3 linked regions of the Tribolium castaneum genome follow. The protein of the gene in region 3 binds, or shares a complex with, the protein of the main gene of each other region. Links are inferred from orthologs where the notes say so. Each region holds a gene or a part of one and is shown on either strand. Other genes may lie near its edges.

The links.
Region 1: tho2 (region 3) and thoc7 share a complex: the UniProt entries of both Homo sapiens proteins name them as parts of the transcription/export (TREX) complex. The link is inferred for Tribolium castaneum from reciprocal best matches to the Homo sapiens genes THOC2 and THOC7.
Region 2: the proteins of tho2 (region 3) and Hpr1 are in contact, whole or in part, in a cryo-EM structure (PDB 7ZNL), measured with the Homo sapiens proteins. The link is inferred for Tribolium castaneum from reciprocal best matches to the Homo sapiens genes THOC2 and THOC1. Residues at the interface, in NP_001075019.1 of Homo sapiens: Leu155, Phe156, Tyr157, Lys158, Gln160, Asn163, Leu164, Leu165, Arg166, Asn169, Glu170, Ala173, Lys174, Ile176, Ala177, Gly180, Gln181, Asn195, Lys197, Ser198, Leu199, Ile200, Gly201, Cys202, Phe203, Asn204, Leu205, Pro207, Asn208, Arg209; in NP_005122.2 of Homo sapiens: Asn134, Arg138, Asn141, Leu144, Arg145, Lys149, Thr153, Cys156, Gly157, Gln160, Leu161, Ala164, Arg165, Phe167, Gln242, Phe245, Arg246, Tyr297, Ala299, Lys300, Phe301, Arg319, His320, Leu323, Gln324, Ile327, Tyr331, Arg373, Phe374, Lys376.

What each region holds. Positions count from the first base shown.
Region 1 is NC_087397.1:9,556,667-9,559,612, reverse strand, and holds thoc7 (THO complex subunit 7 homolog), read right to left. Parts: upstream 1,607-2,946; 5' UTR 1,486-1,606; coding exon 1,449-1,485; intron 1,396-1,448; coding exon 782-1,395; 3' UTR 661-781; downstream 1-660. Other genes in the region: alpha-ketoglutarate-dependent dioxygenase alkB homolog 6, read left to right, coding at 13-660. UniProt on the Homo sapiens protein: Component of the THO subcomplex of the TREX complex which is thought to couple mRNA transcription, processing and nuclear export, and which specifically associates with spliced mRNA and not with unspliced pre-mRNA.
Region 2 is NC_087399.1:4,612,753-4,616,913, reverse strand, and holds Hpr1 (THO complex subunit 1), read left to right. Parts: upstream 1-1,252; 5' UTR 1,253-1,354; coding exon 1,355-1,393; intron 1,394-1,440; coding exon 1,441-2,112; intron 2,113-2,158; coding exon 2,159-2,382; intron 2,383-2,430; coding exon 2,431-3,445; coding exon of another isoform or gene 3,446-3,567; 3' UTR 3,568-3,593; downstream 3,594-4,161. Other genes in the region: rRNA N6-adenosine-methyltransferase ZCCHC4, read right to left, coding at 3,442-3,567, 3,613-3,847, 3,893-4,161. UniProt on the Homo sapiens protein: Component of the THO subcomplex of the TREX complex which is thought to couple mRNA transcription, processing and nuclear export, and which specifically associates with spliced mRNA and not with unspliced pre-mRNA.
Region 3 is NC_087402.1:8,538,573-8,541,744, reverse strand, and holds the end of tho2 (THO complex subunit 2), read left to right. Parts: exon of another isoform or gene 1-118; intron 119-1,704; exon of another isoform or gene 1,705-1,836; coding exon 1,837-1,992; intron 1,993-2,041; coding exon 2,042-2,099; intron 2,100-2,145; coding exon 2,146-2,219; intron 2,220-2,267; coding exon 2,268-2,329; intron 2,330-2,456; coding exon 2,457-2,487; 3' UTR 2,488-2,603; downstream 2,604-3,172. Other genes in the region: zinc finger protein 264, read right to left, coding at 2,902-3,172. UniProt on the Homo sapiens protein: Component of the THO subcomplex of the TREX complex which is thought to couple mRNA transcription, processing and nuclear export, and which specifically associates with spliced mRNA and not with unspliced pre-mRNA.

The sequences.
Region 1 (2,946 bases), on a different chromosome or scaffold from region 3:
GTTGTGTGTTCGATGGATCTGAGCAGTTTTCAAGTGTTACAAGCCCCTCCGACTGTCTACTACATTCCAAATTTTGTAACACCTGAAGAGGAGGCCCACATTTTGAAAAATGTGTATTCAGTGCCCAAACCAAAGTGGACGTGTTTGTCCAAACGAAGACTGCAAGACTACGGGGGCGTGCCCCACGAGAAAGGCATGATTCCGGAAGCAATACCAAACTGGTTGACGAAATACATGGAAAAAGTCGCTCAATTGAACGTTTTTGAGGGAAACAAACCGAATCAAGTATTAATCAACGAATATCTTCCCGGCCAAGGCATAATGCCACACACTGATGGGCCACTGTTTTATCCCACTATTGCCACCATTTCGTGTGGCTCTCATACAGTATTAGAGTTTTTAGAAAATAACGAAAGTCGTGCTAAAGTTTGCCAATTACTTCTCGAAAGGTGTAGTCTAGTTGTAATTAAAGACGACATGTACGCTAAATACCTCCATTCCATTAGAGAAATTGAAACTGATGTTATTGATGAAGGCTGTGCAAATTTACTAAATTGTGAGAAACAATACGCCATTGGCGATAAAGTCAAAAGAGACACGAGAGTTTCTCTAACCATTAGAAATGTGACTAAGGTGCTTAAAATAAAACTATTCAAATAATTTTTGTACTTGCTTTTATTCGCCTAAAATAACATAGCTGATGACATGTAACCATGGTAACTGTCAGATTTTCTAACATAAATTAAGTAACCGTGGTAATTGTCACTTTTACCAACTTAAATTATTCAGACATGGGTTCAGGGCCTGTGCTGTCCGCCACATCCTCAAGTAGACTGTCGTTATGGCAATATTCGTTTGACTCCTCCAACATTGCTTGTAATTTGCTGGCGCTGGACACCAGCACGTGAAATTGTTTTCTCCTCATGTCCAGTTTCTGCTCCAGCAGCTCCTTTTCCTTGTGCAACTCTTTCAGTTCCGCTTGTAAGTTCGAAAGGCGTTCGTTTGTTTCCTTGCGTGCTGGCTGTTCGGCAATACTTTGTGCCAACAAATCGTACATCATGTGGTTTTGTTTCCATATTTTGGCTTGTACTAAGTTGTCTTTGTTTTGTTTGATTGAGTCTTTTACTTCGCTGATTTGCTGTTCAAATTTGTCGTAAATTTTTTTGTAGTTTTCAAGCTGACGCGATGTGGTTCTTGTGAGGAGTTGGGATCTCCTGACTGAGTATTCACAAAGGCTTAATTGTGCTAGTAGTTTGTCGTGGGTTGCTTGGTTCTCTAAGGGGGAGTCTTCGGTGGAATTTGCCCATTTTCGAAGAGTTTTTGCTATTACGTTGAGCCTGCGATCGTCGCCGGTTCCGTCACCGTCTATGAGTAACTTTCTTTTGATAATGTCCTCTAGAAGTTTTACTGTTTGGACACACTAGTAATTTTATAAGGGAAGTATTTACCATCCGACATGGTACCACGTTTGTCCTTTTGTTTCATTAAGGCGGATTTGTTTGCACTGTGGACGCCGAAAAATTTGTATTTTTTGAGGTTATGACACAAATTGTCAAATGTTGGCACTTGCCAACAGTTGCATCGAAAGTCTAAACCAAAAATTACTAGAAATAGCAATTAGAGGACATGTTGAGATAAGTGTTTTAATGGTTGCATATAACAAAAGCTTATAAAGCGTAAATCATTTAAAAATATGACTATAATTTATTTTATTAAATAATACGTATTTTGGTGATTTTGTCATCGGCTACGAATGTTTTCACTATTTTAAAACACGCTTTCCATAGCAACGTGTTTTAAATTTAAACAAAAACAAAAAATTTTGAATAATAATTTATGCAAAAACGCTTAAAGTTCTCAGGTGTCTAGGTGTCTCGCATACGCTCGTTGCATAACGACAGCCCTCGAACTTTAAGCTTCTAAAGTACCAACTTTAGTCCCGGAAATACAAAAAAGCAAATTTTTGTGTCGTTTTTTGCTCCTGTAAGCAATTTTTTGTGCATTTTTTTTGTCGCAACCTATTTGTTTTGAGTTGTTTTTGCTCCTGAAAGCTTTTTTTGTGCAATTTTTTGCTCCCGCAAGCTATTTTTTGGCCGTTTTTGTAAACACAATAATACCTCAAAAAATTCAACAAAAAATAAACTATGTATTAAAGATTTTTACATTTTAAGTGAATCTGCTCCAGTTTTTGCTACCACAAGTTATTTCTTGTGCTATTTTCTGTTTTCACAAAAAAGCAAAAAGTTTCTAATTTCAATTTTAATGATGTTTGTTATTTGGGTAATTTATTTATTATTATTTTGGATAGACATATTTCAAAATTTTTTATCGCTATTAGAGTATTTCATACGCGATGTGCATTTGACAAAAAACAGAAAGGTCTAGAAAGGTCATCACAATTTAAATTCAAAACAAAAAAATAAGATGAATTTTCGGTAAATCTTACAATAAACAGTCTAAATAGTTTTTACTTTTTAGACACGTAACTCGTAGTTTCATATTTAATTAAGCTTTAAAATATTGTTTTATTTATATTTTATCAATTATATCAAACTTGAAGCATTGCAAGATATTTAATATCTGGTTTCTATCGGTACAGGTACTAACGGAATGATCACCTGATGATTATATTTACTCTAGGTGATTTCACGTGTCTAATGAGAAAAAATTAATAAAGGGTAAAGTACACCAAAGTAAACATGACTGATAACGGTGTACTTTCCTTGTTTATTATTATTTTATTACTACTTGATTCATTATTTAAATCACATTTTTAATAAACGTGGATACTTTAGTTATCAATAAATTAAATCCCGTAATCATATTTTCAAAAATCCGTCGAAAATTATGATCTTAGCAGTTCAAAGTTCACTTTTTTCTTATTTTGTCGACGAATCTCCAATTACTCATCGGATTTAAACGATTCAGGAGAAGACCGCGTGTCCG
Region 2 (4,161 bases), on a different chromosome or scaffold from region 3:
TAAATACGACACAGCAATAAAATACACCTACCTTCATATCGCTTCCACGTTGGCTACCGTTTGTAGCATTAAAAAAAAATAATAATAATATTGAAACCAAAAAAATGTTTATTTGCATTAAATTTTGAGCAAGCCACTTTCATTCATTGAAATTAAAGACAAAATTATTACGTGGCAATTAATTATTTGAGTGTTTGATTATAATTTTATTTACTGTATTTAAAATGTGTCACTCAAACGCGATCACTAGCCACCGAATTGAAAATTTAAACCGGAAAATTTAGATTTGCTTGAACACACGTCCGTTCGCGACAACGGCAAGTAACAAACTGAATAAATTGAACGAAACCGCACAATACACAATAATTTAAATAAACCGACTCACCTCGCTTCGCCTCGCCTCCCGCTCCCGCTCCCGATCTGACCCGTACCACTGCTCGCTGTCGACTGAACCGCCCTCGCCGCCTGCGCCGCACACCTAACCTCGGATGTGACGTCATCACACGTCTAAAACAGGTCATAACCAGAAACATTCACTGTCCAAATCCGTCAAATTTAGAAACATTCATACACAGAATTATTCAAAATAGAACAGTATTGATCTAGAAAAATTAATTATGACAAATGTATTTGTCTATAAACGTCTAAAATTATAAAAGTTTCGCATGCAGTTAATGGAAAAATAAAAATGCATGTTTATATTTAAACAGAAACTGGCAATGTGAAATTTTAGTGCGAAAATTAGTGGTAGAGCTCGGAAACTCTGTAAACGACCACGATAGGCGGAGCCAATGCGTACTTCATCGAGTGAGGAGATTGAGCAGTGGCGTAGCAAAAAACCATTCTATGATCAAGAAGGGTTTGAGATTCATAATTTGTAGTAGTTAAAATTTCCTCTATTCAATAATTGCAAGATGAAATAGTAAAAATCATATCTAATGCTAATACACGTTGATTTCCTAGAAATACAAAGCAGAGAGGTCGAATAAATAAAAATACACAATGAGTAAAGAGTAAAAACGCGTTTATTGCAAAAAATGTTTCTACTGGTATCTTTACTATAACTGGTAATATTGAAATGTTAAACTTTAAGACGAATTCCCTACACATGTAAGTACACGCCACGCCACTGTTTTCTGCCAACACCCCTAATTTAAAGATTGGACTCGTCCGAGACGAGTTTTCGTATCTGCGCACTCCTACCACCGTGGACGATCTGTCATTTCGCGGACTCTAACATTATTTTTGACCTTTGACAGTTGTTTACAAGACGATTCCGGTCGCTTATTCAAGTATTTCACACGAAATTGAGCGTTTTTCACGTTGGGGGCCCTCCAAGCGTTGCATTTAAGCAATGGGGGGCAAATTCGAGTCGTTACGGGTCGAATACCAGGTGGGCCCCGACATAACCTCAAACGCCACTTCTAACCCGGTTTTTAGGACGTTTTACGCAAATCTTTCAAGACCAAAACCACCGATTTGATCGAAACTAAAGCCAAACACTTGTCGAAGTCCGCCATCGACCTTAAGGCCCCTCTGGACCAGGCGTTCCGCGACGTCTTACTCGAACTCCTTGAAAAGGAAGTCAACGTCTCAGTCTTACGCGAGTTGGTCGATTTTAGCGTCCTAACATGTCGCAAGGAACTGAGCAACCCCACAATGCCAGTGATGCTCCTTTCGGACATTTTTGACGCCTTAACGCTGGACGCCTGTCAGGAAATGTTCCTCTACGTAGAGAACAATGTCGAAGTGTGGAAAGAGAACTTGTTTTTCAGTTGTTGCAAAAATAATTTACTCAGGTTGTGTAACGACTTATTGAGGCGGTTATCTCGGTCCACGGCGACCGTTTTTTGCGGCCGAATTCTCCTCTTTTTGGCCAAGTTTTTCCCGTTTTCTGAACGTTCAGGTTTGAATATTGTGAGCGAATTTAATTTGGAAAACACGACAGAGTATGGCACGGACTCGAGCCAGGAAAAGGGGGGCGACGTTGACGGCGACGAAAAGAAAAACGTGATCGATTTCACGTTTTATTGCAAGTTTTGGTCGCTCCAGGATTTTTTCCGGAACCCCAACCAGTTGTACACTAAAGTGCAATGGAAACTGTTTTGCACCGTAATTATTTTTGCGCATTTTAACCGATTTTTATTATTTTTTTTAGTACGCCACGAGTGTCTTTAACACGTTCCAAGGCCTCAAGCTTGAACACGTGGAAAATAACGGGAGCTATTGTGACGAAAGTAAAAATAAAATGTACTTTTCCAAGTACCTGACGAGCCAAAAATTGCTCGACTTGCAACTGTACGACGTCAATTTTCGGCGCGCCGTCCTGTTGCAGTTTTTAATTTTATTCCAGTACCTTTCATCATCCGTAAAATTTAAATCGTGAGTCGGTTTCTTTAAACTAGACGCACCTTTAATTTATTTTTTTAGCGAAAGTTTCGAGTTAAAGTCGGACCAAAAAGAGTGGATCCAATCAAGCACCGAAAAAGTCTACAGTTTGTTACGCGAGACTCCTCCAGACGGTAAACGATTTGCCGAAATCGCCTCAAATATTCTAAGTCGGGAGGAGTATTGGAACGCTTGGAAGAACGACGGTTGTCCCGAACTGAAAAAATCGGTGGTTCCCACGGAAAGCCCCGACAAGCGCCGAACCGAAGAGCGCCCTCTCTTAGGCGACATCATTAAACAGGCCTCCAGTGAGGGCAAATACTACATGGGAAGCACCGAACTGACCAAACTGTGGAACCTATGCCCCGATAACTTGGAGGCTTGTAAAGGCCGAGAGCGCGATTTTCTCCCCACACTTGAGGATTATTTCGCCGATGCCATCGCCCAAATCGAGTCACCTGGCGCAGTCAAAGACGAAGACAATTTACTGAAAGATGGGAATTACGGGTGGCGGGCTTTGAGACTCTTGGCTAAGCGCAGCCCCCACTTTTTCACCTACAGTACTGTGATTATGAACCCCCTGTCTTCGTATTTGGAGATGATGGTCAAGAAAATAGCGCATGATAAGCCAGGTCGCGTGACCGAAAATTCGCAAGAGTCGCAACAAAACGACGCCGAGGAAGAAAATTTGTTTAAGGACACGCAAGTTGATGAAAACACCGAAGACATCAAACCGTCCGAAACGGAGGAATTTATGGACGATAAGAACGCGCGAGTCGAGCATAAATTAAACCCGAACCAGTTGCAACTCTTCAGCGAGAAAGTGGCCCCCAATTGGAAAAAACTAGCCAGCAAGTTGGGCTTCAAAACTGACGAAATCCAGTTCTTCAGTATGGAAAATGAGAAAGAGGTGGACCAGGCCCGTAATATGCTACAACTGTGGTTCGATGACGACGAAGATGCCACTTTGGACAACTTCTTGTACATTTTGGAAGGGTTGGAGATGGAGGAGGCGGCGGAAATTGTCCGAAATGAAATCAATTCGATGGATTCCTAACTGTATTTAACTCGTTTCGCCCTATTTTTACTTTTCAATTTGCGTTTCATATGTAATTGTTTGTGATCAACCTTGGGACAGTCCCGTTTTTTGTGCCCCGGTTGTTTACAGTGGAAACAATCCTTTAATAAAATTATTAAACCTTGAATTGGGAGTTTGAGACTGACCTGAGTAAAGACCAAGTCGCCGCATTTGTGGTCCGGTTGGCAGCACCGACCACATTTTTCGCAGTGCTGCCAACTCGGTTTAACGCACCTTGCACACATGGGACAGTGGGTGTACGTCCGGCCGTCTTTCGAGGTGCATTTCTGGCAAATGGGGCAGTGTTTGTTTTCGTTTGAAACCCATTTGTTGCACTCTTGGCAAAATTTGTAGCCTTCATTCGCCGGAAGGACTATTTTACTACAATTTTTTGTCCCGAAAAGTTCGTAAAAATCGTCGGCTTACCTCGGGTCCACGTTCGTGAAAATTCGGACGGGTGACCCAAATTTCCGCGCCTTAGCGCCGTCTTGAAACAAAGGATGGTTGTCATAGTCGACTTTATAATCGAGCATGGAATAGTCGGGGAGGCTGTTTAGTATTTGCGGTTCCATAAAGTAGGGGAATACCCAAAATACCGACAATTTTGTTTTTTCATTCAGTTGATTGTATTTTTCGCTGATTTGTTTGATTGTGTGGGCTAAGGGCTCGACCCGACCCCCGAAAGGTGGGTCTAA
Region 3 (3,172 bases):
GGTGCATGAAGATTCACTTATGTAAAAGTGGCAAAAAGTGACACTTGTGTAAGGGACAGTCTGCAATCAGCCCAATCTTCCATTTTGTTAATAATTTTGGGATGGGAGCCAGTTACAGGTAGGTTCCGGATTAAGTACGGAGTTTCTCCGGTGACGTGCAGCTCTTTTTATTGAATTACATTCCTTAAATAATTTTATTTGTACTGAAATTGCTTCCGTTTTGGTTTTGTCATGCCGAATTATTTTAGATGTTATGGATTATTTTTTCTGTTTCATAAGATATAAATGCATGTCTTTATTGTTGTTGTTAGACGAAACTTTTTGTTAAAATATTAAAGAACTTGGTTGCGTTTGTAAGGAACTTTTTTTTGCATTCCTTAATGAGTATTCAATAACACGGTCCAATAAATCCGACTTCATGTTTTTTTGAAGTGTCGAATGCATAAAATGATATTCTATTATGTATAGAGGAGTGTAACTTACAGTGTAGAAATATCCATTTGCTTATTACGAGTATGTATAGAATGTGTTTCTCCACCCTTGTGAAACTACATAATTTGAAAAAAACAATTGCAAATGTTACTTCCCGGCTATTTTTGTTATTCTTTTTCCCAGACTGGTCTAAACACAAATAAAAAACATGACAATTTTTATCAATCACTTTTCTATTTTAAGAAAACTTTTGTGGTAAAGTTTCCTTTTCCAAGCTCGATTAATAAAATGCTTGTTTTATGTTAAAGTTTATTATTGAAATAATAGTTTAATCAAGAGGACGAATAAAATGAACAAATAATTTATTCAATCTTTTGATTTATTTTTATTCATTCCTTTGATGAAACTTGTTTTTTTAATAAGATTTATATTCGCGAATTAAAATTTGATTCAGGACTAATTGCCATTTACTTTGTATTCACAATGAAATAAAAATTTTACTGGGATTAAATAACTCTTTATGTATTAAATGAGCATTTTATTAATAGGAATTGGAAAAAATATTGTATAATACACGTGAATGAAGAAACTTTATCCACTCAAAAGCCTTTTCGTGGATAAAATTCGTCTTTATTCACTATTTTTATTTTATAGTTATGTGAGCGGAATTATTTTGAGCAAATATTTTACATTTATCTATCTCTTGACTTTGTGCGTATAAATAAAATTTGTAATGTGTTTTTTATATCTACTACGCTAGTTGTTATTTCGTATTTTTCATTTCATTTCTTATACTGATGTTTATGATGTTTTATAGTTCTATTACTACATGATATTATGGGACATATTTGATTATTTCTTTCTATTTGTTAAGTTTATATTTTACGCGTCTTGATTTGCAACCATGAAGGGGTCACAGGTTTCGGTATTTGATTGCTAGCAATAAACTAATGTTTTTTTCCTAATTACTTACCGCTAACGCGTGTGTGTGCCATTTAAAACGTTAGGGCAAGAAATGGAAGGACGTTCACCGAAATTTGTTGTAATTAAAATGGCTCGACGGCTGGAAGGAGCTAAGGAAACGAAGAGAATGTGGAAGATGTCGTAGTTGGGAAAATAAGTTAATTTATTGTAGTAAATCCGAATGCCCTGAAACTGCGTGACTTTTTTGTGAGCCAGCGGAAGATGGAATTATTTAGACGAATGTAATTCAAGAAAAAGCAAAATCCGATGCACGCTAATGACCATCACTTACCTGTTATAAAACTATAGAGATTTAATTGGTGTTGTGCCAAAAAGCAAGTCGAGTTGACAGCTAGTACAAAGCAAGCGCCAGCGGAGGCTGCTATTGTGCAACACTGTCTCAACCCGCACGTCTAATGCAGTACCCCTGGTTGTCTGCAGAGTTCGAAACACGAAGAGAGGAAACTACAACAACTCGATTACATGTTAGAGAAAACGGACAAAAAAGAAAGGTCGGGCAAAGCGAAAGAGAAGAGGGAAAAGTTGAGCGACGAGGAAAAAGAGTTGAGGAAAGAACGGAAGTTGGGAAGGAAAAGGGTAACGACAGCGAATTTAAAGACTTTTTAATGTTGTTCAAATTCGACAGGATCGGACCGAAGAAGCGCTCCAAGTTGAAATGAAGAGGCGAAGAGAAGAAGAAAAAGGTAGTTATTACTTCGTGTTAATTATTACTTAATTTCGTTTCAACAGCGGCGAAACTTTCACACCAAAATGGAGAAATCATGGAACCCGTCCACCAAAGAGAAAAACATCATCGCTCGAGAGTAATCACTAATTTTTTCTAGAATTTTTTATTCATGTTTTTACCACAGGACTTGTCACCATATCCACGAGAGAGGTCGCACGATGACCGACTCGAAATGAGGGAAAAACAATATCCTTTTTATAGACAATTTTAGCCCATTTCTCATTGTTACATTGTAAATTTCATTATTAAATTTCTTTACTTTCGACTGTTTCATTTCATGTGGTTTTAAAGATTTTTCCTTAATGAGGTTTACCAGAAGAAGTGCCGAAAATAAAAGGAGATGATAATTTTTGCGGATGGCGATTTAATTTTATTTTTAGTAACTTTAAGTGTATTACACATGGATTGTACGTTACTGATGTGATCTGTAGAATATGAGAATAAACATGGTAATGTGGTATTTTATTGTAAATCCACCTTTTAATCCGTCCTTATTCCTATTCAATAAAAACGAATTTTTGTGAGGCACTTTATTTGATAAAAATATGAAAAAATTGTACAATATTCGACGTCATTATAAATATTTATATATCTATTAAGTACTATTTTGGCCCTGTTTGACTAGGATTAGGCACACGATATTGGTACACACTAAAATACAAGCATAAAAATCACAATAATCATAAGAAGATATCTTTGGTATAACAAAAAGTTGGAGCAAATCTTAAGTCTTAAATAAAGAACGAAGTGAATACTTGTTACATATCCTCCGCCATAACTCTCTTAATCTTACTCTTCTCCTGCTTCCTGGACTTGATCGGCTTCAAGTCGGGAATATCACCTGGCCCATGACACTTTCTTTGGTGCTTTTTAAGTAGAAAATTTCTGGTAAACGTGGAATCACAACATTGGCATTTGAAGGGCCTTTCGCCCGTATGTATCAAGATATGGCGTTTTAAGTCAGTTGGCCACCCGAATTTTTTCGAGCAGTATTTGCACTGGTACTTCCTGATTTTCTCAGGCTCTGCC